Nothobranchius furzeri: one gene and its partner. The protein of the gene in region 1 interacts with the protein of each later gene in a biochemical or structural test. Links are inferred from orthologs where the notes say so. Each region holds a gene or a part of one and is shown on either strand. Other genes may lie near its edges. The genes, in order: uso1 and stx5a.

Evidence for each region.
Region 2: the proteins of uso1 (region 1) and stx5a form a complex in vitro, tested with the Homo sapiens proteins (2 studies listed by BioGRID). The link is inferred for Nothobranchius furzeri from reciprocal best matches to the Homo sapiens genes USO1 and STX5.

The regions. Positions count from the first base shown.
Region 1 is NC_091744.1:13,150,502-13,162,332, reverse strand, and holds the end of uso1 (general vesicular transport factor p115), read right to left. Parts: intron 11,269-11,831; coding exon 11,168-11,268; intron 11,083-11,167; coding exon 10,980-11,082; intron 10,875-10,979; coding exon 10,819-10,874; intron 10,727-10,818; coding exon 10,606-10,726; intron 10,522-10,605; coding exon 10,343-10,521; intron 10,262-10,342; coding exon 10,121-10,261; intron 10,045-10,120; coding exon 9,956-10,044; intron 9,871-9,955; coding exon 9,716-9,870; intron 9,642-9,715; coding exon 9,436-9,641; intron 9,316-9,435; coding exon 9,295-9,315; intron 8,738-9,294; coding exon 8,723-8,737; intron 6,132-8,722; coding exon 6,021-6,131; intron 5,815-6,020; coding exon 5,696-5,814; intron 5,575-5,695; coding exon 5,393-5,574; intron 5,307-5,392; coding exon 5,185-5,306; intron 5,108-5,184; coding exon 4,969-5,107; intron 4,871-4,968; coding exon 4,704-4,870; intron 4,562-4,703; coding exon 4,499-4,561; intron 3,121-4,498; coding exon 3,022-3,120; intron 2,941-3,021; coding exon 2,842-2,940; and 6 more. UniProt on the Homo sapiens protein: General vesicular transport factor required for intercisternal transport in the Golgi stack; it is required for transcytotic fusion and/or subsequent binding of the vesicles to the target membrane.
Region 2 is NC_091741.1:87,972,241-87,984,778, reverse strand, and holds the end of stx5a (syntaxin-5a), read right to left. Parts: intron 12,369-12,538; coding exon 12,298-12,368; intron 8,942-12,297; coding exon 8,886-8,941; intron 8,798-8,885; coding exon 8,727-8,797; intron 8,618-8,726; coding exon 8,501-8,617; intron 6,649-8,500; coding exon 6,592-6,648; intron 6,484-6,591; coding exon 6,402-6,483; intron 5,236-6,401; coding exon 5,149-5,235; intron 5,000-5,148; coding exon 4,896-4,999; intron 4,778-4,895; coding exon 4,656-4,777; intron 3,772-4,655; coding exon 3,612-3,771; 3' UTR 3,260-3,611; downstream 1-3,259. Other genes in the region: zgc:162144 (protein RD3), read left to right, coding at 936-1,308. UniProt on the Homo sapiens protein: Mediates endoplasmic reticulum to Golgi transport.

The DNA of each region.
Region 1 (11,831 bases):
CATTTAAATATCTTGTTCATTCATATGATTATTTAACTTATAAGTTGTAAAGCCTCATAGGATTCGTGTGGATTCACTTTTATTCAAAGTGAAGAATCCAGCTGTCTGACTTTTAGCAGAGAGATAAGGCTTTAGCGGGAGACCTCAACAGTTTACGACTGCATTGAAGAACAATAAGTGAGCGAAAGGTTGATCTGTGCATCTGGACCCTCCAGCTGGCGTAACCTTGACTTTGCAGCTCTGACGTGCATGAAAGTTTACAGTCAATTCTATGGTGAAAACTGACCCTTTTGATACATCACACTTTTTTCCACCTCAAATTTATATTCCTGGAATCAAATTATGATGTATGTGGCTTTCATCCACAGAGGTGAGGCAGCAAGAACCAAAAAGACACCTTTATTTTCACAGTTAAATCAGACTTTTCTAAAACTTGGCAGCTTCTGAAAATTGAAGCACAAATAACCAGTTTATCAGCACAATCTGCTGCCGTCACCTAAAGCTGCACCTGGACATCAGTTTGGCCCTGGCACCACCAAACGAGACTGAAACATGCAGATCTTGCTGTTATTTGCATACATCCTGTAGGATTTGTTTAGCGTATTACTGAGCTGCTCACTGTGGAGACCATGGACAGCTCCTTCAGAGGCAGACTGGCAAATCCCAGATTTAAAACAGAATGCTACCTTAGATCATTCATCCCCTCTGTAGTAAGACTGTATAACTCCTCAGTTGAACTGGTACTGGCATTATACTGGTGCACAATAACATCAATGCAATACTCTGTACGAGGTCAGTTCCAGATTTACATAGTATGTCTGTGTTATGCTGCGTAGTTCTGGAACCTAAGTTTCATTTTGGTTTTTCAGTGGTTGAAGGTTACAATAATATTTGACTGCCTATGTGTTTATACCATCGACATAAATATACACGCGCACTTTTATAATTTTTCTGAAGAGTTTGTGCTGCAGTACCAAGTGAAATTTCCCACTGTGGGATCAAGTCTATTCTATTCTAGCCGTTTTTTCCATCTCAGGTCTGCACGAAACCCCCTGAACAAAATACTCTACATAAGAAACTCCAGCCACACGAGGAAAGTCTCATGTAGAATGAACTGTGGCAGAAACCAAACAGCTACAAATTAAACGTTAATGTTATTGAGAACATAAACTCAGGTGTTTGTTGCCTCCTAGTGGTGAGGAGCAGCCGTTACAAGAAGCTTCACACGCTTTAGTAGAACTACTTGTACACATTTACTTACTAATGGAGTTTTATTTTTGTCATTTTAAATTTGCTCCAAATTTCTTTAAGAATATTTCCAAATAAAAGTCTGATTAAATATTTATAATAAATATTTACATATTTTAATCCAAAGCAGATAAGACCAAAACATTTTATTGTGGATTTATTAAAATGTACCTACATTTTTTTCCTCCATATGGCATACAGATAGATTTTTTATTCATTTCAAGGTTTTTCTTTAAACTCATAAGTTACAGAATATCATACAGAAGCTTAATGCCAGAACTGGGTCAAAAGGGGTTGCAAAAATACATCTTAGCATGTTTTTTTATGTCGTCAGTGTTTTGCAGCATGTTGCAGAGCAGTCGTGTTGAGCCGTCGAGGTGAAAGGAAAGAGCTCCGTAATACTAACCTTGTACTGGGCGTGGAGGCGGATGAATCCAGGGTGGAGCACAGAGAAGAGTTGTGAGCAGAACGCAGGAGAGACGCTCACAAAACACTAAATTAATAATCATCTTTTATCGCTACGTTTTAAATCCCTCCTCTTTAGATTTCCCAGATTAGACTGTGCATTAAAAACAACTAAAGAACAGAAGACAAGCAGAACTGGTCACAGAGGTTTTGTGGAGATGAACGCACCAACGAGTTTAAATCACTGAAAAACAAACATGAACAAAAACTTTCCGAATGTTAAATATGAGAATGTGATGAGAATTATGAAGACAGCATGGCAGCTTGGTGGAGAACCTGCTGTGATATATATATATATATATTAGTCCTATTCCTCAGTTTCTCAGGCGACTTTCGACAGTCTCTTCTTCTCTCTTGGGAGGCAGATTCACATCACACCTTTCAGTGTTTCTAGTCCTCGTCTTCGTCCTCCTCGTCGGATGTCTGCTCCCTGGCGTCGATGTCATCTTCATCTTCCACCTGCGAGGGAAGAGTCATAGTCTAACTAGAGCAGACAGACAGAACAAGGCTGAGTGGTGTCGGGACGGAGCCCGACTCCGTTAGCTGATCTGGGGTCAGAAACACAACAAGAGCAGTTTTTACCTAACAGAAACTAAAAATGACACTCTGCATGACTGCTGTTGCCATGGTGACCAGAATGAAATGTGAAGATCATTACTGAACCAGAGCCATTCAGGGGATGCTCGCTCAATGATGTAGGATGGATGACAGAACCCATGATGACGGAGGCAAGAGATACTTCAAGCTAGACTTCGATCATTTTTATATCATTTAGTTTAAAAACTAAATCTGAAGCCCTGAAGACAAAACCTCGCCACTAAGGGTGGGTTGTTTCTGTACCGGCTCTCCCAGGTCTTTGAGTCTCTGTTTCAGGCCGTGGATTTTCTGGTCCTGGTCTGCCAGCAGCATCAGCAGGTCATCCTGCTCCTTCTTGGATTCTTGGAGCTCACTCTGCAGCTTCGACTTCTCCGTCTGCAGGATAGCCACGGTGCTCGTGGCAGAAGCCAGCTGCTGCTCCAACCCCGCCTGGCTCTCCTAAAGCGGGAGGAGTTGGTGACGGTGGTTACTGATCAATGTTTATGAACAGAAATCAGATCACTTCACTTAAAACGGATCAATCTAAAACACCTTCAGTCTTTCCGTCTCAGACATCTGTGCTGAGAGCCGGCTCTCCAGTTCTTTGATGGCGTCTGATGTGCCGTCACTAGAGGGCGCTGCGTCAGCGGCCTGAGCGACACCAAGGAGGTTTTAGCTTATTAATTAAAAGTTTCTTTATGTCAGATTAGAGGGATGTTTTAGAATTGTTACCCCTGCTTCAGCTCGTCTCAGCAGCTCCTGTCTCTCAGTCTTCAGCTGGTTGATATCAGCCAACTGGGACTGAACCTGACTCTTTAAAGCTTCCAATTCCTGCAACAAATTCCCACAAGCTGACGTTATAAAGCAAGACATTCTAATGACGTCACAGCAGTCATTATCTTGTTTCGTTTAGCCCAGGGGTCGGCAACCCGCGGCTCTGGAGCCGCATGCGGCTCTTCCATCCATCTGATGCGGCTCTCTGTGCTTGTAAAATAATGAATGGATATTTAAATAAAATGCTTTATACTTTACTGCATTAATTTTACATCTGTATGCCGATTCTAAATGTAAAGATTGTCTGCGTAAACCTGAACATTTCCAACCCGGTCTTACTGTGAGACCGGGTTGACGGGTCACACTTGTGCGTAATCATATCGGCGCTTTCTGAGCTGACGAGGATGTGAGATTCTGGGACTCTCCTCAGACGCCACATTGGAAACAGGAACAAGCACTATTCAGCCAAAGTTTCATAATCAGAGAACATTTTCTAAGTGACAAGTCTCGCTTCAGTCGGAGGAATCTTCCTGCATGCGCTCTGGTTCTGCGACGCGCTCCAAGCTCCTCTCCACATCTTCAGCTCGCTGTGCGCCGTATACGTACGCGCTGACAGCGAGCTGCGCTGAGCAGTGTCCAGCTCAGATGTTCAGATGGGAATCTTTTCTTGGGTGATTTAGCTACATCTGCGATGTGTGAAACGAATAAAGTGTTAGTTCGTCTGCATGCGTCGGGGTAATTCTTTCTCCGTCAAAATAAACGGTCAAATACGGGAACTATCCGGTCAACACAAGCCCTGCTTTTAACTGTTTTGTTTTCTTGTGAAAATTGTTGCAAATAGATATAATTTAACTTGATTAACACCAGAGCCAGGCGCACTGCGCCGTTATCTCCGTCACTGTAAATGAGGGAAAAACAAATTGATCGGATCCTTTTCTGACCTTCCCCACCTACAAAGTTTAATTACAACAATCAAACGTGACAGAGCCTGGATTTGTATTCTGAACAGTCTAAACATGTTTTAAAAAGAAGCATATGACAAAAGTGGCATCTGCTCAGTAAAACCACCAACAGGGTGAAAAATTTCAAAATAAACGGGCTACAACTTCTGGATCCATTTTATATAAATCGTTTTATTGATTATCGTCTTATGAAAGATAGCTTTGACGTACACGAGCAACCGGTACTGGCTGCTGTCACCTGTTGTGAGCAGCTCTCTGCTGTCTGAGGGTAGGCCCCGCCCACAACGCCGCGGCTGCTGTGGCTCCCAGTGTTTTCTTTACTGTGGGAAACGGGTAATAATGGTTCTTTGATGGGAACAGGTTGCCGACCCCTGATTTAGCCACAGAACATTTGGATGGAATTCAGGATGTCTTTGTTGTGCCCAAAATCCAGATGTTAGCATCTCCTTTGACCTGTGAAGAGGGAGCCTCACCTGAAGCAGCTCTGTGTTGGCTGATCCTCCTCCTGAACTCTCAGATGTCTGTGCTGCTGACTTCTATTTTCACACAATAAAGCATCAGTCAGGCCCTCTTTATACATCTGTAGATGCAAGATTACTGCACACATCATCACTAAATGTTATCATTATTCCTGAATCTCTAGAATGAACACACAGGTGATCTGAAACCTGCACTAACCAGGCTGTCGATGAGGGCGTCTTTGTCACCGACTTGTGTCTGAAGAAGTGTGTGTTGCTTGCGGAGCTCCTCCAGCTCCTCCCTGAGCTGAGACAGCTCTTCTGTCTGCAGCCCGTTCACCTGAGAGCCATCTGCCTGAGTGCTGGGCTGACTCTGGCTGTCCTTACCTGAGGAGAAGAACCACAGAGGTGTCTGCTCAGTTAAAACCTCACAGCTGCACTACCACGGGTGACATGAAGGAGCAGTGGCAGCTGTGTGAACTCACCTAGTTTTAGTTTGAGGATGTTGTACTGGTCTTTGTGCTGCTGGATCTGAGACAGCTGCTGGCTGATTGTTGCCTGCATCTGGTCAGTCTGGGTGGTCATGGATGCTACCTGCTCCTTCAGCTCCTGGATCTGAGCATCCTATCATAAAAGAGAAGAAAAACTGTCAGTGCTGAGTTTCTGAACCTAATCACACTGAAGCACTGAAGTCCACTCACCTGCTCTCTGATCAACTCTTTGTACTGAGTTACGATGTTGTCGTGTTGCTCTAATGTCTTCTTCACCTCTTCTTCCTTCTTATCCTCCTCACTGGACTTGTGAACTGCTTTTGTTATCACACCTGTGTAGAGCAGAGAGGAGCACCCTGTAAAATCCCTCTGGATGAGCGGATCCGTCTCCGGACAGGACGACACGTTTCTCACCGACCTTCCAGCTCTTTGACCAGCTTGGTGAACTCGTGGTCAAACAGCATCTGCTCTGGAGACGGGAAGATGGGCTGCGGCTTCAGAGCCGCCCGAGAATACAGTTCGTGTTTGGTGATGAAGCCGAGCTTCTCCACAAAGTTCTCCTTTCCGATGCGCTTCTCGATCAGCTGTTTTAGCTTCTCCCTGAGGAGGGACATGACGACATTACCATGGTGAACAAATCTCTCTACGATGGCTTCTCGTGTATGCCTAAAAATGGCCAAATCAACATGTTTCTATGTGAAACCGATGCAAGATAACTTACTTGGTGTAGTTTTCCAGTGAGTTGTCATTATAATAGATGCAGATACCAAGCAGCAGTGCACACAGGCCCTGCACCAGCCTCTCATCTTCCCCCAGGTTCTCTGAAATCTGAGCTGTCAGCTACAGGAGTCACCCAGTCAAAGATTCATTCAACAAACCTCAGTCAATCATTCTCTCACAGAGTCAGTGCAGCCGAAGACTTGATTTAATGTTATGAGTTTAAATGAAAAGGTTGAGGTTAAAGCTTTAAGCTATCCGAAGGTGAGAGCTGAGACAAAGTCTTATCAGTCAATTTTAAAACTAACTGTGAATATGCTGAAGGATACAAAAGGAACGTTATCCTGATTGTGTAGAAAGTGTGTGACAGCAATGGGACAGTTGCTGATCCAAGTGCACAGCAGCATGAGAAGGCCCACTCTGGTCTGAACTTTACTACCCTGCAGGAAGAAAACAACACAAACAAAAAGCTTAGGAAGACACCCGGTAAAAACATGAAACATTAAATCTTAAAGACCAAGTTCACTTGTTTTTTCCAACATGTTTGGGGTGGGCTCTAGTATAAGTTTTTGCCTTGTGAGTTGATCTCTGTGAAGGAAAAAAAAAATTGGCACTTCTGATTCAGGAAGTAGAAGTTAGCCCGAGCCGAGGGGAACACATCACAGCAGAATTTGGAGTTAGTGTTTAACGACACATAAGCATGTTTTAAATGGCTGCCTTGCGTAGCTTGCGTTGATTTGAAGGGTCATTTTTCCGCGTCCCCCAAAATTAATGCAACTCGTTTAAAAGCCGCAATACACGAGTAGCCAGTAGGGGGAGTTGACAAAACAAGCGAGACACACTCACCATGGCAACTCTGTCTCTAGTTTAGAGGTCTTTCTAACCAGCTACGATACCGCTGCTGTCTTTTTCTGCCGTGAACTCAAAATTACCCAGTTTCTGATCTCTTCTGTTGATGCCATGTTGTTTTGGTTGTGCCCCACAAACCCGGCTCACTACCCGGTCTTACTACTCTACAGTGCCCCCTCGTGGAATCCTCCGTACCACATGCAGTGCCGTGCAGCAGTAAGTGAACAAAGGTTAAAAAGCAAGTATATTCTGGCCATTATTTTCTGATATTTGGACATCTCTCTTCTGATTGGATAACAGCAACATGACTCTACCACTAGCACTCTTTGCTCTGCTACGCTGAGGTTTCATCTCCACAAATAACACAAGCCTGAAGCAGTTCAGCAGTGTGGTAGAGTTGCTAATGCTAATAGTTAGCTTCTACTGCTTCTTCGCCGTTTCTCGGACGCTAAGCCAACAACAGCTTTGCCCATCACGAGCCATGATGACTGAGTCCATGAATCTTCAGAGCCTCAGTCACACCCATCTACTTCCAGACCATAGATCCCCAGAAGAACAAAAAATGGGGCTAAAAACACTATTTTCTAATTCCGCTCGTTTTGTACCATGGATTTCACATGATGCCCGTGAATTTTAAAGACACATTTTGATACCAAGAATGCGTCATTTTCGAACAGGGGAAATGTTATTTTAGGATTTGTGTGAAAATAAGTCCAGGACTACAAATGCGCTTCACGAAAGTGACGTCATCGAACCAGACACGGAGAAAACTGAGGGAAAAGGGCTGTAAGTTCAGCAAACTTCCCTCAGGAGGAAAGAACCAGCATAAATCTGGTCATTCGGTAAGTAGCAGCTACGCTAGGGGAGAGGAGATGTGGTGACGCCACATATGCGACATGCTGATTTCTAGTTTGTAGTCATGCCAATTATGAACTTTTAAAAGCTAATAAATCTCAAAGTACGTGACTGGCGTGGTCGAAACACCCATCGTTAGTTTTCATTTAAATTGCTGTACAGCATATGTGTGATCCAGGGCGTAAGGGAAGGCGGATAAGAAAATAGCGTTTTTAGCCCCGTTGACTTGCATTCATTTTTTCGTTCTTCCGGGGATCCATGAGCCGACCAGAAAGGGAGGAGACTTAGGCTCCCCATTGTGAAGTTGTTTTGGGCTTTTCTAATCCAAGCGTTTTTCAGAAGCTAATGAAGGAAATAGGGGTAGAAGATTATTTTCACGTTTGGCCTGCATGTTAAACTGAGAGTGGATGATCACATTTCAAACATAAGAAGTAAAAATCACTTTCTCATTGAACTTGGTCTTTAAATATTAAAGAGGCTATTTTCGAAAGACCTTAAAACTGGATGCAAGATGTGCAAAATTCAGTCTGGCTGTGCATGGGGGTGAAATAAGAAAAATAAAACAAAAGCACCAGAATGCATCTTCATCAGAAGGAATTTAACAGCAGACTTAAAAAAATAAACAAGCAAAGAAGCAAATTTTAGAAGCTTGAGCTGCTGATGCATTTCTAAAGTTTCGCTAAATGATCGTTATTTGGGCCAAATAGGAATTCTAAATAATCTGATGAAATAAAAACAAAATAAAATTTCAGTTTATAAAAACAAATAATGTTAACGTCATCAGTTAATGTTTTAATTGGCATCAGTATTTAGTAGTTAATTGGTTATAGTTAGTTAATAAAAACATACATATGAAAGTGAGATTAAAAAGAGCATGCAGTCTTCTAATGCTCCATGGCAACAGCACAAACATACTGTTATTTATTTTAACCATCACTCTAAGAACCAATTAAACTTTTTATACCTTTGGATTTCAGCACATGCTAAACAAAATCCACCAAATCTTTTTCAGGCAATGACACAAACAGGAAATATTACGTAAAAATTTAATTTTAAATGTTAAAGATACACCACTCGTCTTGCTGTAACTCATTTTAAGCAGCCATCATAACTGCTTGTGCCAATCAGCTGCAGGAGATGAAAAGAACAAAAAATGATTGTAAAAAGAAGACGCGAGGGCTGGAGGAGAGTCCGAGCTGCAGATTCAATCCGAGATTAAATCAGCTGAATACGGAGATCTGAGCCATGATGGTGAGGGGATGAGGAGAAAAATAAACACTAATAAATCTTATCAGTGTTACTACAGCGACGTACAAAAGCAAATCACCTTTTCAGATTTTGTCTCCAAATGTGACGTAAATGGAGGAAAGGAGGAAAACAAAAAGAAAGAAATAATCACAAGGGTCAAACAGTGGAATGTTTTTGTCAACAACAGCTGACTGACTAGAAGGTTCTGGGTCGAACATCAACAAGATTGTTTGTGCATGGATACATTTTACTGAAAAAGAACAAACAGTGATGATGAAGGACCCTTGTCTGAAAAAAGAAAACCCCGAAATAGCTGCAACACACACTTCCTGAACAGATAGATGAGGCTAAAAGCAACGTTCAGGTTTCAAGCCCAAAGCAGGAGTTGTTATGATATTAGCAAACATCTCTTCTGAACTCCTAAATGAACATTTTAGTGTTTCTCCATCTTCCTAACAAATACTGATAAGCAAGAAGTGTGTCAGAGGTCAAAGCAGGACACTAACATGTTAAGAAGCAAGATCCACCCACAGAAGGGCCACAGAGACCCCTATTACTAATGCCAAGCCAATATAAACCAGGACAAGTGCCACCCAAACACACACACACACACACACACACACACACACACTACAGATGCTCTTTACTTACCCTACGGACGATCTTATCACCCTGTAAAACCGCATCAGTATTAAACCTTTGACAATCTGACTAAGAGCGGTCGTGTTTTGACACAAACCGCTCACTCACACCGCTCGGCAATGTCCGTCAGTGCCGAGCGTCACGTCCTACCTGAGACAGGATGTTGGTGCACTGCTGCAGCAAGGAGACCGGTGGCTTGCCCAGACTGGTGGCCAGTTGGACCCTCAGCAGCTGCTCCTTCTGGGTGAGGTTGTCCTGCAGGGCATGAGCCAAAGCAACGGCGGCACACCAGTTAGAAAGAGAGTCCACCGAGAACAGGCCTCCGCACAGCAGCTGGCCTGCTGAGATGGAGTTAGCTGGACGAGGAAGAAGGACGCCGTTAGACAAAAGCTTGACGACAGGACGCTCCAGGATGTGACGCTGTCCTCACCATCGATGGTGGAGGGCAGCAGGGTTGACACGATCTCCCCCTGGCCTTTCTGATTTCGGTAAAGGAAACACTGGAAGCAGTAAAGGACAGCACAGCGGAGCACGAACGGCTGCCTCTCGTTCACCATGGACATGAGCAGCACCACGATGGCCGGTCTGAGGAGACAGGAAGTGGACGGATCGCACACAGAGTTCATGAAATCCTTTCTGATTGGGATATTCACCAAATCAGACAAGTTACCTTGGTGGGTTTGAAGGAGCGTTGACTGAAGCAAAGTAGTCCTGATTGACCTGTGACCCCCTGATGACCTCTGAAACCGTGTTGATGGTCTGAAAGACAACAGATCAGATTTGTGTGGAGCAAGATAAAAATACATGACTGGTTTAGAGATGTCGCTGGGCTCACCTCAGTGAGGATGTCAGCAGGAACGCCGGTGGCCATGAGGATGGTGCAAAGCTGCTGCAACAAGCCACACTGGTACATGCTCTTCTGACAGCTGGCGGTGGCTCCAGGTGAGTTCACAGGCGACACCATCACTCGCACTAGCTGGGATGATTTTATTGAACAGATTTAAAAAAACGTGAATATGGACTAAATCCCCACCCAAACACGGCTGTTGTGTGTTACCTGCAGCATGAGGTGGAGGTTTGTGACCTTTTGGGCGGACCAGCCCGAGTTATCGTCACCAACCTCAAACCAAGGCTTCATTTTCTGGATGTAGGAGCCCTCCTTGAAGAAGTTTTGGTTAGAGCTGTTGTTCTTCAACAGATTCAGAAGCAGCAGCAAACAGTCTTCCACCACAATACCTGCACACCAGAGAGCCGTTTTTAATAGCAAAATTTAAAAATACAAAACTGGATTACGATGTAATGCGACAGCTCCTTTCACACCTCCATCACTGCAACCCTCGTCTGAAATGATCTCCAGGAGACGCTCAAACGCGTTCTCAAATGCCACAATTTTCTGAATGGCTGCATTGCCTTTGGTCAGCTGCTGCAGCAGCAACAAGCCCTGTTGGGAGCAGAAATCAGCATCATAATGAATCAAAGAGTCAGTAAGCATCTTACTGTTGGGAAACGTCAGAAGGGGACAAACGTGCTTACATCATTGCGAATGACTTCTCTAGAGTCTGCCAACAGGTCCATCAGTCTGGAAACACCTGTGAGAGGAAACCAAGTCTTTCTTTTATTCATATATGCAAGTACAACTCTCCAAATTAAAAAATTGTAAGGTTCCATATAAAAAGTTCTAATAAATAACTCACCCATGGGGCTGACGAGGACAATCCCCTGCACCTGAACGCCTTGGTTCTTTAGGAGAGCGGTCAGTAATTTAACCCCGGGCCAACGGACGTGGAAGTCAAACTCCTACAAATCGACATGAAGGTATAAACACAGAAGCAGCAGCTAAGTCTGACAGCCCTGACTTTCTTCCACAGGAAGGGAGACGCACCTCCAGCAGCGTGAGGAGCAGCGTTATGTGCTCCGGGTCCTGGATGAACTTTTCTGTAAATTGGGCTCCGAGGTCATCAGTCTGCTTCTGAGCATTCTCATCTGTGAGAGGGGCAAAAGAACAGCTGGAATAAGGACCGACGTGTTAAAAGCTGCTAGCTCAAGTCAGAGCTAATGATGGTCAAACCATAACTCCTCAAAATTTTTATATTTGAAGAGAACCCACCACAAAAACTACTGTGACGTCAAAAGAGACGTGAGCAGGAAAAGTAAAAAGTGCACAGTGGTGACAGGAAAGGAACCAAGCAGATTTTATGTTAAATCTGAATCAGATTTAAAAAAATAAAAAATAAAACATTAAAAAAAATTTTTTTGGCCAAGACTTCAGCTCTGATTTGTGTTTGCAACCAATGCTTGTGCCTTTCCTCCTGTTTGGATACCACCTTAGCAATTTTAGCTCTATTTCAAGTTTTCTGACCCTAATTTTATTATATTTCTAACCGCTCTAAGAGAATCAAATGGTCTCCAGCAACAGTAGACACCAGACCGCATCATCTTTAGCTAAAAAATATAAATGGTAAATGGTAAATGGCCTGTATTTGATATAGCGCCTTCTAGAGTCCTGGAACCCCCCAAGGCGCTTTACAACACAATCAGTCATTCAC
Region 2 (12,538 bases), on another chromosome or scaffold:
GAAAATAAGAATTTAGAGCTCCAGCTATCTCCTTTAACACCCTATAGACAATAATATGCTCAAACCCTCAGGTCATCTCATGAAAGCGTTCAATAACTCAGGACAGAACTTCTTTCAAAAGATGGCTGACAGGATTAGTTCTTCATTTCAGGGATCTTTAATCAGCCCAATCTTTAAAAAAAAATGCTTAAAATGATAGGTTTCATTGTTGGCCCAAAACATTGGGGGATCAAATGTATGTAAAGGGAAATGTCTGATTTCAGTTTATAATAGTTCTATGGTTGATACAAAACATGTTGATGAAGTTCTTTGCAAAAAGTCACGCATAAAACAATTTCAGCAGTTTTACAGTTTCATTGCCTTCCAGAATGGGTGATTTCAAGGCTCTGTCACTTTAAGAAAGCATGCTGGAGCTGGTCACGCCCACCCATGCCCCACTCAGTCTGCTATAGGCAGAGAAGCTCTGATATTCGGGAGGGGCTCAGAGTAGAGTCATGCTCCTCCAGCAGCAGTTCTCTCTTGCACGTGAGAGTTGGTTCCTGAGTAAATTCCCCATTTGTGATGTCACAAATGGGGACCTTTTGAAACTTCTTGTTTTATGAACGATTCCTAAAACCAAACACTGAGAAAAAATGGGTGGACAGGTTTTTTCATGTTTCGAGTGTTTTTGAGGCAGTAGAGAACGATGGCAGCACTAAAGAATCCAAAAGGTGTTTTTTTTTTCACAATATGGCTCCTTTAAAAATATTTCCTGTAAAACAAAAATGCAAATGGAATTTCTGGTTAGATGTCACACGAGTTCTCTAGCATCAGCACCTTGTCAATGTTTAAAGATAGCAACTCCATTCTTTGTGCAAAGTCTTCTCTCAGTCCCATATTTACTTCTGTAAATTTTCCAAACCCATGTCATGACCAACCTTCTCCTTCCACTGCAGGTTCAGGAGGCTGGTGTCTCAGATGGAGCCGGAGGTTCACGAGGTCCCTCGGCTGTTCCGCACCGTGCTACGGGACTGTGTCGATGAGATAAACGAGAATGACAATCTTCAAACTCCCAACACTTTCTTTGAGAAGCAGCAACGCAGCAAGAGCCTGTCTTTTGTTACTTTTCGCACAAAGTTTCGCACTGGTCAGATGTTCAAGGGCAGCGGTTTGAGAGGCTCCAGAGGGAATCTGCAGCAGCAGGTGGACTGGTCCGAGGAGGAGTCGGACGGAGAAGGAGAGGAGGAGGCTATCAAGGCTAGGGCCAGGAAGGGAAGGAGCAAGAGCATGCCAGAGATCACCCCAATGGAGCAGAGTGCTCATGGCTGAGGAAGCAGATAGAAGGTTCAGAAGGACTGGTGTAGAAAAGTAGGCACGGAGGAAACAACGTGAGTCTGAACTGGTGATAGTGAAAATAATCACAAATGAAAAGAAAAGGGGTAAGGAATTGTCAGAGAAATAAAAATTAATTTTAAAAAACTTTCACTTCTGCGTCATCTATAGCTTTTTGTGAACATGAGGGAAGTATTTAAGAGATTTCATAATCATTAGTTTAACTCTACCTGCTTACGAACTTTAGTGAAACTGGTATTAAGATTAATTAGAGCTGATGGTTAAGGACAGTTTTAACCTTGCAGCAATCCTCTGGGTAGCAGGCTATGACACACTGACAGTAATCAAATTTAGATGATCTCCTACGTTCATCACCACGTTAAATAGCAGCTGTTAAAAAAACAAAATGGTTCCGTTTTAGTTTTTCAAGTTTAAATGGAGGTTTAGACAAGCTGACTTGACTTTGACCTGATAAAAGTACAAAATATAAAATGTTTAGATCAAACTGGGTGCTACTACATTTCTTGTTATATCCATAAAGGAGAGTAGCTGCTGTAGATTCAAAACAAAGAGACCCTGATGGGACAGGACCACAGATCTACAAACAAATCAAACATTAGATGCAGTCTCCTACTAAAGATCCCACAAACTGTTCCTTTATATTCTGTTACCGATGCAGACTGGTCTCCACCACAAAAGGGAAACAGTTTCTTCAGCAGCCGCCGTTCAGGTTAATGAAAAGCTGCTCTCCTTCAGATCTCTGCAACGTAAATCATGTCAGTTGCATGTTTTTTTTTATTTTAAATATACATGTCTGTTTGAGAAAATATACAATGTTCTAATCCTTTCTGATTAAAGCATTGCATTTTCTTAATAGTGTCTGTTTTACTTTGAAAATGGGTGCATGTTTGAAACATTTAAGGTGAAAAACTGGATTGCACAGAAGATAAACATTTCCAATTCAATATTTCTCTAACATTGAAACATGAATGGATCCCAGTGATAAACTACTTTTTAGCATAACCAAAAACCTTTGGTTAAAAGAATTTTGGTACAAAATACATCAAATAAAAATGCCTCGACCTGAAGGATGAGTGCTGACTAGCTGAAAAAAAAATCATATTTAAATAAACCAGTCCCTTCATTCAACCAGATTTACCTTAGATTGGTTCAACTGCATAACTTAGGCTCTATTCTGCTTTCTAATAAATCAGATTACTTAAATGTTTTACATAATGTATTTTGTTGAGTACTTGAGTGAAAATACAAGTAATCTCTTTGTGAGGATATGATTAACCAGCATTCTAATCCCAAAAAGACATTAAACATCAGTGCCAGCATCCCATTATTTTATTAATGCACTCTTTTCCAATACATCATAACTATTTGCACTTTATACAATGAAGTCAAGGCATTTGGCTAAAAACATGGGAAAACAGGAACCATTTCTTTTTGTTGTAATGGTCAGTTAAATAACACTAATCTGAAGAGGTGGGGAACTTTAACAGACACTTCCAGGGTATCTGTTCATTATTGGGTTGTCTCCAACCAGAAAAACCCCTTCATTAGCGCTGATCCTCTCTGAGGCATTGCACCGGGGACTTTTAAACCCCTGAACCTGACGGCTGCTGGCCAGACAGCTTCAATTAAAATAACAACTATAATATAACTACACTTTGTAGGACTCCTGCCTAAAACTTCAGCTTGGATGGCTCAAACTGCTTTCTTGAGCATCTTAGTTTTATGTCACAGTTCAGTAAGTCTACCCATTTGGCAAATTAACTTAGAAAGCAAAACTGGAACTAAAACAAAATCACATAAATGAATGCTGTTGAATTAAGTAATGCCGATTAATGAAACAAAGTCATTCAGTTGTAATGAGAAGTAGAAACACAATAGAGTAGACTTCCATTCTATTGTTTGGCTTTGGAATAATAAAGTGAAGGGGTAAACAAAACAAATTTAAGACAGTTTGCAGAATCAAACCATTAACTTACAGCCATTTTGAGTAAATGTAAATCTTGGTGAAAGTACAAAGCAGAGCTTCCTTCTGCTCAGTAACCAACAGAAGATGTTTATTATTTTGACAGAGTTCAACCTCTTTATTCCTCATTAAGCTGTAGAATCAAGAGTCTGTAGCTTGGAAGTGAGTGAAAAGTCTGTGTGATTCTAAATCCCAGCCTTTAATAAACCGTTGTGGAGAACTTCATCCTTCCATTATGTCGTGCAACCTGGTCCAACTTTAGCTTCTATGTGCTTTTTCCTCCATTTAGCTGGTCCTCTTCACTTGCTTTACTTTTTCAAGCGAAGAAGACAACAAAGATGATAAAGAAAACAGCGAGAACAAGAAAGATCTTAATCATCAGCCAGCGGTTGGAGGAGACGGACTGGAAGTACTTGAGGATTTCTGTGTGAGCTGACTCAACGTTCATCTGGGCATCGTCCACGTTAGCATCAATCCTGCAAGAGGACAACAGGAAGTGAGCTACAGCTGTCATTGCTCACATCTGGTTTCTTTTTTTAAAGAGGTCCTTCACTTAGAAACTATTTTTTACTTATTTTTGAAAGTTGGCCACTGAGTTTAACATTCAGGCAGCATGTCTCCTGCCTTAGCTTCTAATAGAAAATACTGTGAAAATCGAGGATTTGAAAACCTGACAGATCTACGTCGCACCGTCACTTAACATCCATGGACTCATCTATCTTGGCTCGTGACAGGGAAGGCTGCTGTTTTAGCTTCCAGCGAACAGCAGACAACATAATGGCTAGTAGAAGCTAACCATTAGCATTAGCAACTCCACCACACAGCAGAACTCCTCCAGGCTTGTGTTATTTGTGGAGGGACAGCATCAATGTAGTAAAGCAAATGGAGTCAGTGGTAGAGTCATGTTGCTGTTAGCCAATCAGAGGCGAGATGTCCAAATATCAGGACATAAGACTCCAAATCCTGCTGTCTCAAGCTACTTTTTCCTGTGGTTTAATTCTCTGTGCTGAAACAGATGCACCAGTTTTTTTCTCTCTAGAGTATGACTTAGAAGGCCTTCACTCCTGCAATAGGCCACTGCCAATGTACTGAAAATATGAGTGAAGGACAGTTAAACCAAAAGCAGGGCACATATGGCAATAACTTGAAACCACTTCTTTTAACACAAATCTATTTTGCCATACATACACTGAAGGGCAATTATAAATATATATACACGTGTGTGTGTGTGTGTGTTAAGACTGAGCATCTCACAAATTTCCTTTATTTACTGTAATCTTCTCAGCTGACCAAAATGGACGTGTACAACATATTCTTGTACTAGGTGATTTCAGTGGCCATTTTCCTACTTGTACTCCACCTTTGTATGGTCTCTTCTTGTTCTTTAACCATGTGTGCCAGCTGCTGGAATATAGAACCCAGTTCCACGATGGTGCTCTCAATGTTCTGCATTGTATCTGCACGGCTCTGGATGTACGAGTCCTAGAACACCAAACATTTTTTCAAGTGTTAAGGAGTGTTCTGTATAATACAACACTGCCCATTTACTGGTTGTAGGTTAACAGCGATGTGTCTGATTGCCAAATGTCAGCAGTGCTACCTGCTCATCAATAAGCTGGAGCTGCAGAGGGTTGCTCTGAGAGTCCATGTTGATGGCCACATCTCCCATGCTCCGGGACTCGTCCTGCATCAGAACAGAGCTCTCTGAAAGAAACAAGAGGGTAAAACAAACCCATGATCAACGAAATTGGAATAAATCTCTGAATGTTGCAGGGGAAGGCATAAAAAAATCAGCAGGTATATACAGTAGCGATTCATACCCGCTGGGAGAGTCAGACATTCCAGGGAAATACCTTTTAAATTTGTGGTTGTATAGCCCTGGTAGTCATTGCGCGGCTCGCGAGCTGCTTGCGGCTCCTGGGCCCCTTTTTTGCGGCTCCCTAAAATATTTTTTAATTTTTGCATTACAGAGGACCAAATACAATAATAATCAATCACAAGGACTTTGAGCAGTTCCCTACAGCAACAGCTGTTGGTTTCAACACAAGAACACTGGCAGTCAAAGGCTCTCCACAACTTGTAAAGAAACGTGGGTAACACTTTACAATAAGGGTCCCTTTATTAACGTTACTTAGAGCACTATTAAGCTTTAATAAATAAAGAATCCCTTTATTAACGTTCCCGATATTGCTAACTATTAAGTGTCCTTAAGGTTGAGACAAAGGGCTGGGGGGGCTGCTTAGTGATGCATTATTTAATAAGAACATTAAGCAGTTAACATTTTATTTAATAGTTTATTAATGCTTAATAATGCACCAAGTAACATTAATAGAGACCTTTACTGTAAAGTGCTACCGAAACGTGAAGCAGCATGCGGACAGAAAGATCTACTTTATGAATACTTCATTAAATATGTATTCTGATAAATTTACAGTAGAGATAAGTGAAAGGGTACAAGTATTGTAAATGAATTATGGGTTCAGGGCTCTGTTTAGATACATTATTTTAATGATTTTTAAACAAAAAAGAAGAATTGATGCGTGAATAAAAGGCAGAAGGACTAAGTGGATCAAGTGGTTAGAGAGCAGGACATTTCCAGAAATAGAAATTATTACAAACACATCATGTTCAATCTTTAAATGTATTTATGAGCAGTTGCATCAGCTTCAGCCAGAAATGCTTATAAACAATTGCTGTTTTTATTGGTAGAGTAGATTCATGCAAAGGAAGCATCAGAGCCCCCAGCACCCTTCAGATAACCCCTGCATGTGGAGCAGGGGACGGACAGTAGCACCTACAAGTGGAACAAATTAGACTAGTGTTTGTAGCTTTCACCACTAAAACTCCAAAACTAAAGGCATCTATATTAGTTTTAAATGTGTTGTTGACGGTTGTTTGCTCAAATAACATAAGCCGTTTAAACATTTTGCCTGAATCTTGGGTGGGATTTCTCCCACAAACTTCATTCGTGTTGGATGAGCGTGTCACCATTAAGCTACACCAGCATGCAACATTCACTTGTCATCAGTTTTAAAAAGTGATCATGGCAAAATATTGTTATATTTAGTGACTGAAAGCATGAATCCAAGAAGGGACAGAGACTTACTGAAGTTGTTGGCCATCATAGGAGAAGAGGAGACGGGGGGCTGGGAGAACTGCTCTCTCCTGCTGCGCTGCTGCTTCAGGTTCTACACAGGAGACGTACGACGACGCAGAATTAAATTACATTAAAAACTCCCATTCTAGAACACCAGTACTAGTGTTTTCTGCTCGTAATAACATGGAAACATTCTCACCTCAGTTCTGATTTCTAAGACTGATTTGAAGTCATTTGACATTGATGCCAGTTTGGACTGCAGATAGAAACATAAAAAAACAAGTCCATCATTCAGCTGAAAGCACATCTAAAGAAGCATAGCACGTAATAAATACAAGCGATGAAAACTTTTTATCTGATATTTTAAAGGACCTGTATCATGCCATTTTAGACCTTCCAATGCAATGGTAGGCGGGGTTTTTCCTGCGTTCAAATTTGTGCGGCGGCCGCCTCCAGCTATTTTTCTGCCGCCCCATCCTGATTTCACTCTGCCCCCAGCTATATGGATGTTATTTTAACATCCATGTTGAGTGGAGAGGACGCAGAGCGCTGATCGTTGGTGCGCCCGCTGCGTCCACCACACGATACATTTTCAAGGTGGCACAACAAAACTATTATTAACACATGATTATTCATATCTGTTTATATCCTCTGGTACTCTGTCTTTTAATCGTTCCTGACACGCTCCGCTCATCCTGTGCTGCGGTGATTTCACCTCACTGACGCAGCATCAAAATGCGCACTACGCTTTGCGGTCAGGAGATCCCTTTGATCTGTTCAAAAGTAACTGATGAGGTGAAAAAGTAAGAAGCCAGACAGCAGCTTTTCTAGAGAATTTAGAGGAGATGCAGGAAGATGAGAGACAGACAGGACAGGACAATAGTCAAATAAAAACAAGAAAACAAAGCTTGAAAGTAAAACGTACGTAGATTTATCTCCACTACACGTTTTTACCAGTATAAAACAATAAGTTATCCACATGTAATATTTGTACATCTGATACAATTCAGATCACCTTCAAAACTCAGTCACACGCCCAGGGCCGTTTCAAGGCATTTTGGGGGCCAAGGCAAAACGGAACACCCCCTAACCCTAACCCGTACATAATAGACATGCCACCATTACATTGTTAGCAGCAGAAATTAAATGTTATTACCATTTCCAATACAAATGCATGTTAATGAAATGCATTATATTTTACTGGATATATTTGTGTTATTTTGACTAAGATGAGTGTTATTAATACAAACCTAAAATGTTACTGAAATATAGGTCATATTTAAAAATATTTTTAACTATAAATATCAGATGGGAAAAAGGAAACTAAACACTAATCTAAAATTATTGAGCCTTTTATAATATTTTGCCTTTAAAAAGTGAGGCAGTTGAATGCACAGAGTATGCATGTGCTGGCACATGGTCAGGGTGGTACCACCTCTGCCTCAATTTGAGGCAGGAAAAACCCTGGTAGGTATGATGAAACATTACCGTTAGCACTATCGAGATGTTTTTTTTTATAAAGTACAAGTTATTTTTGTGAGCCATTACTTCAACCCAGAAATAAGAGGCTCAGATTAAATCAAACCCTGCTTCCTGCAATGTGAATTTCAAATTAGCACACAGCTGCAGACTTGGAGACCAGAGGTTCAAGCTGACATGTGCAACTCAATGACTGCATTATTTAAAGTGCAGACTAGACAGGAAAGAAATCACAACTGTGGAGATTAAAGTCTCTGCTAGCTACATGGAGAGACTGGGTGTTAGTGTTTACAGTCCAGGGGAGGAGGGATGCAGACTCAAAACCACCTAGATGAGGATAATAAAGTCGTGACATAGCAATAACCCACCCAGCAGCATGAAACAGCTTAGCAAAAAGTTGCAGAGCTAAAGGAAAGAAAATGCTTCGACATAAAAATGCATGCACACATGCATAAAAATAAATAAATTTGGGTTGTTTTTCATGAGGAAGTAATATAACATGGTCAAAACCCTCAAAAAGTAGATTTTGCATGATATAAGACCTTAAAATAAGTTTTTTAAACCATTATTTTGAACAAATATGAAATATACCATATGCAGATCAGATATTACAAATACACAAAATGTACCTGTAATGAGACCACTATAGTGTTGGAATGGGTCTGGATGTGTCGGCCACCAGGAGCACTGCGGGACCTGATCAAGTCCTGCAGCTGTGCAATCTGTTTGTTTAGGCTGTTGATATCCTTTGGACAGAAGAACATATGAAAAAGTCAGTATTTTAATAAACAAAAACTGATATTTTTAATACACATTTATAAACCTCACACCTGCTGGAGAGCAACTTCAACCTACCTGTTTAATGATGTAGGTTAGCTCCTCAATCTCCACTGCCTTGTCATCAAATAAAGATTTCTTTTTGGCCACTGAAATAACAAAGCAATAGCACGCAAAAATCAGCACTTCGGAAAACAAAATATTTATTTCTGCAGAAATGACAAAACCATCACTTACAAATTGTGAGTTTTTCCAATTTGGCAAATGTATTGCTTAAGTCTTTCCCAATCCTCCTGCAAAGAAACAAGCAGATGAAACTTACTTTTGGTTCTCAGTGTTTCCCCTAGAAATTTTTCTAGCTGTGGTGGTTGTGGTGGTGGGTGGGGATTATGACACGTCTCACCTTTATGTTAATATTGTTTTATTTGATGCACTCCACTTTGAACTGCACCAATCCAGCAACTGCTGCATTTTAATAACTAGTATTAAAAGGTGAATACACCAATATTTGCACAAAAATAATTTTTGTTTTAAACTCTCAGTGACACACTTTGCAGGGGGGATTTGGCATTTAATTTTTCTTGGCGTCTGGAAAAACATCTCCTTTTGCCCCCCTTTATTTGACTTTCTGCCCCCTTTATTTTGGTCCGAGATCATTACTGGGCTGGCCCTATTAAAAACGTTCTACACCCCTGCTTAGTCGACTTAATGAAGTATTTTTAAGTCAGTATAAAAATGACTGAAACACAAATTTACATATTTGGCATTATTGACCAATATCTTTGATTTAATTTATTTGTTAAGAACATCAAGATGCGTTACAGTGATCATTATAATGAAGCACATTTTTCTAGTGCAGAGAGGAGACAACCCATAGAAGCACTGATTTGATCTCATTTCAGAGAAAAATAGAACAGGTCAGATGCACCTAATAAATAAAATTACTAGCATAAACTCAGGAATCGGTTTCTTTGCTTCATTGTTCTGGTGCTGAAAATATCACTAATGTCAAAGGAGATACACAGATGAATGCAACTCCTACTTATTATTTGGAAATTAGTGGGTGTGGTTTACATCAATACATTATTTTAAATCTGAAATTGATATGGATTGATCAGAAGTTGCTATGTGTGTTTATTTGAAAACTATTTACAGAGCAGCCTCAGAATTTAGATTAAATATTTTTGACCACAATAGTAAAGGAACTATTAAAGAACAAGTTTTTCAGTAAAATCAGAACATTAATATTTAAGTATATGAGTTAATACATCTAAACTCATGCAGTAGGAACTACTGACCCCAATTGAAATACTAGAACAATTAAAATACTAGAACCAGACAAACCTTTTTAATGTTTTTATTTTAATTTGATTAAACTGATTTTTTCCTAACGTTGTTGGCATTTTCCCCACACAAAGTTAAACAAAACAATGTTGATTAAGGTGTGTGTGTATGAGAGAGAGACAGAGAGAGAGAGAAAGTTAAAATAATTTTAAAAAACCCGACCGGAGATGAGGCAGTGACCGACGCAGCATGAGCCGTTTTCAGCTCTGTCTTGTCAAATGCACCACGTATGTTACGGAAAAGGTAACTTTAAATATTCAACCGAAAAAGAGGCGAGCTGAAGAAAACCTAGGGAGTACTGAAGAAACGTGAGCAACAGTGAAGCAATCACAGAGAGATCCGTTACTGTCTGTGTGTGTGCGTGGATGCCTGGGCCGGACTGAGCTCCCGGCTGCAGAGTTTTGTGTGTAGGGAGGGGCGGACGCTCTATGTGACTGGCCAATCACGGAGCATGAAGACAGTTACCCAATGGGTATTTTCTTTCAGCACGATTACAGATATTTATGAGTTTTACTCGTTTCATGCTCGTATTCATCAAAAATGCTTTATCCGCCCTATCTGTAACCACCCTGCCCTGCCTCCTCCTCCTTGCTGCCTGCCGGCTTTCATCACAAGCAACAACAGAGTAGTTCCCGCTGCTTCTTCGGGAAATGGCACAAAGAAAAAAAAAATCAATTAAACTTGGGATCTTGTAGGCGTGGCGCTGGGATTTCAGCCGTGGCGGGCCGCCACCTATGCCTGTGTAAGGGAAACACTGGGTTCTGCTTCATTAACACGTGTTAGAATAAAACCTCGGGGGGTGGACTACTGGCGGTTGTGAGTGGGGTCCCTTGGGGGTCTTGGCGGAGGCCATGGGTCGCTGCCTGGCAGCTGCATTGCCCCTGAGCAGGTCTGGGTGGGGGCCTGGGGGCTCAGGGTGTGGCCGGCCTGGTGTGGGGATCTGGGCGGGGCCTTGGGGGTCGGGTCCTGACATGTATGCTGCCGGGAAGAAGGCAGGAACATGCGGCAGTGCCTGTCCCGGGTTCAGGGGCCTCAGGTAGACCTCGGCTCCTCTGCTGTTCCATCACAGGGGAGGGGGATGTCCAGGAGGGGGAGGACCCAACCTTACCTCAATGTCCAATGTCTTATATATTCTGGGAGTTGTGCAAATGCAGGGATGTGATGCTGCTCCTTTGGTTCCCTGGCAAGATGGGCTGGGGTCTCCATGTCCTGGGTGACATTTTGGCAACAGAGGTGCCTATCGGGGCCAGTGGGGGAGCTGGCTCCCCCACTATCGGGGCCAGTGGGGGAGCTGGCTCCCTGGAGGGCTTAAGTCCAACCAGCAATTCCTCCCCATCCCCACACATTTTTCTCCTCCTGCTCCCTCACATCATCACACAATCATGCACATAGGACCTTGGAGGGTGGACAAGTCAGGGGGTGCAGGTATGGACCCCATTTCCGCATTCCTGTGGCAACCTGCCCCCCAATTTTACTTGCACCTTACTTCCACCAACGACATTCCACGCAAGCACACACTTAGGGCCTTGGGAGTGAGCACATTCAACGGCATTTGGCAGGGGGATTTTTCAGCCTCATCCCGAGTGCCAGTGACCACTTCCAATTTTAAACAGCACTTAGACACTGAGGGCTGTGGGTGCAAGTGGGGTAGTGTGGTGGCATCAGCTGGCATAGGCCAGACGATGCCCGCACTGGAACTTGGGCACGTTCAACACATGTCTTAAGGCTGTGGTTGGCACTAAATGCACTATAATTTATTATCGTGTGATTGTTCAATAAAACAATGTTGATTTTACATTTCTTCATCAAGTTGAAACAGTGATAGCTTGCTCCTGTTGTATTGTTGTGTGTGTCCCTTTTCTGCAGGTCTAGAAGCAGACTCTTGTTCATCATTGATCGTTTATTTTCGTGGACCCCCCCCCCTCCCCTTTTGTATCTTCCTTTCTCTTTCACCTCTGTCTCCGTGTCCGGTCGAAATTACAAAGCATTCGAAAAACATTAACAATAAAGTTTTAAGTATCAGACATGACATTAAAAGCAGAAGCTTTGATGCTCCACCTGAGAGTAAAATCTGTAAGGCTTGTCTCCAGCATTCAGACATTAATTCTGTTTGCTTCACAGCCAGACAGGACAGGAGAAAAAAAAAAAAGAATAAAAAATAATTTTTATCTCAACCACTCTTGAGAGTTTTAAGACAGGTTAAGAATCATCTGGAACACTCAAAACTAAAGTAGCTGTGGTATCAGTAAAAAGAACATTTGTAACACATGAATAAAACATGTAGGAAAACCTCTAAAGCTCTTACTTGGCCATGAGTGTGAAGTCACTGCGTTGCCTGAGAGACTGAGAAGCAGGTTTACTAGGCTGGACTCCATTCTGACATGTGGGGGGATATGAGGAATAAAATGTTAGATTTAAACCAACAGTATGAAGCCACACAGTGGATAAATAAAAATATATTATTAGATTATTAATTAAACATTTTTGTTGTAACTAATATATTTGTGGAGGTATACAGTATCACCTGACTGATAAAAAAGTGGAAC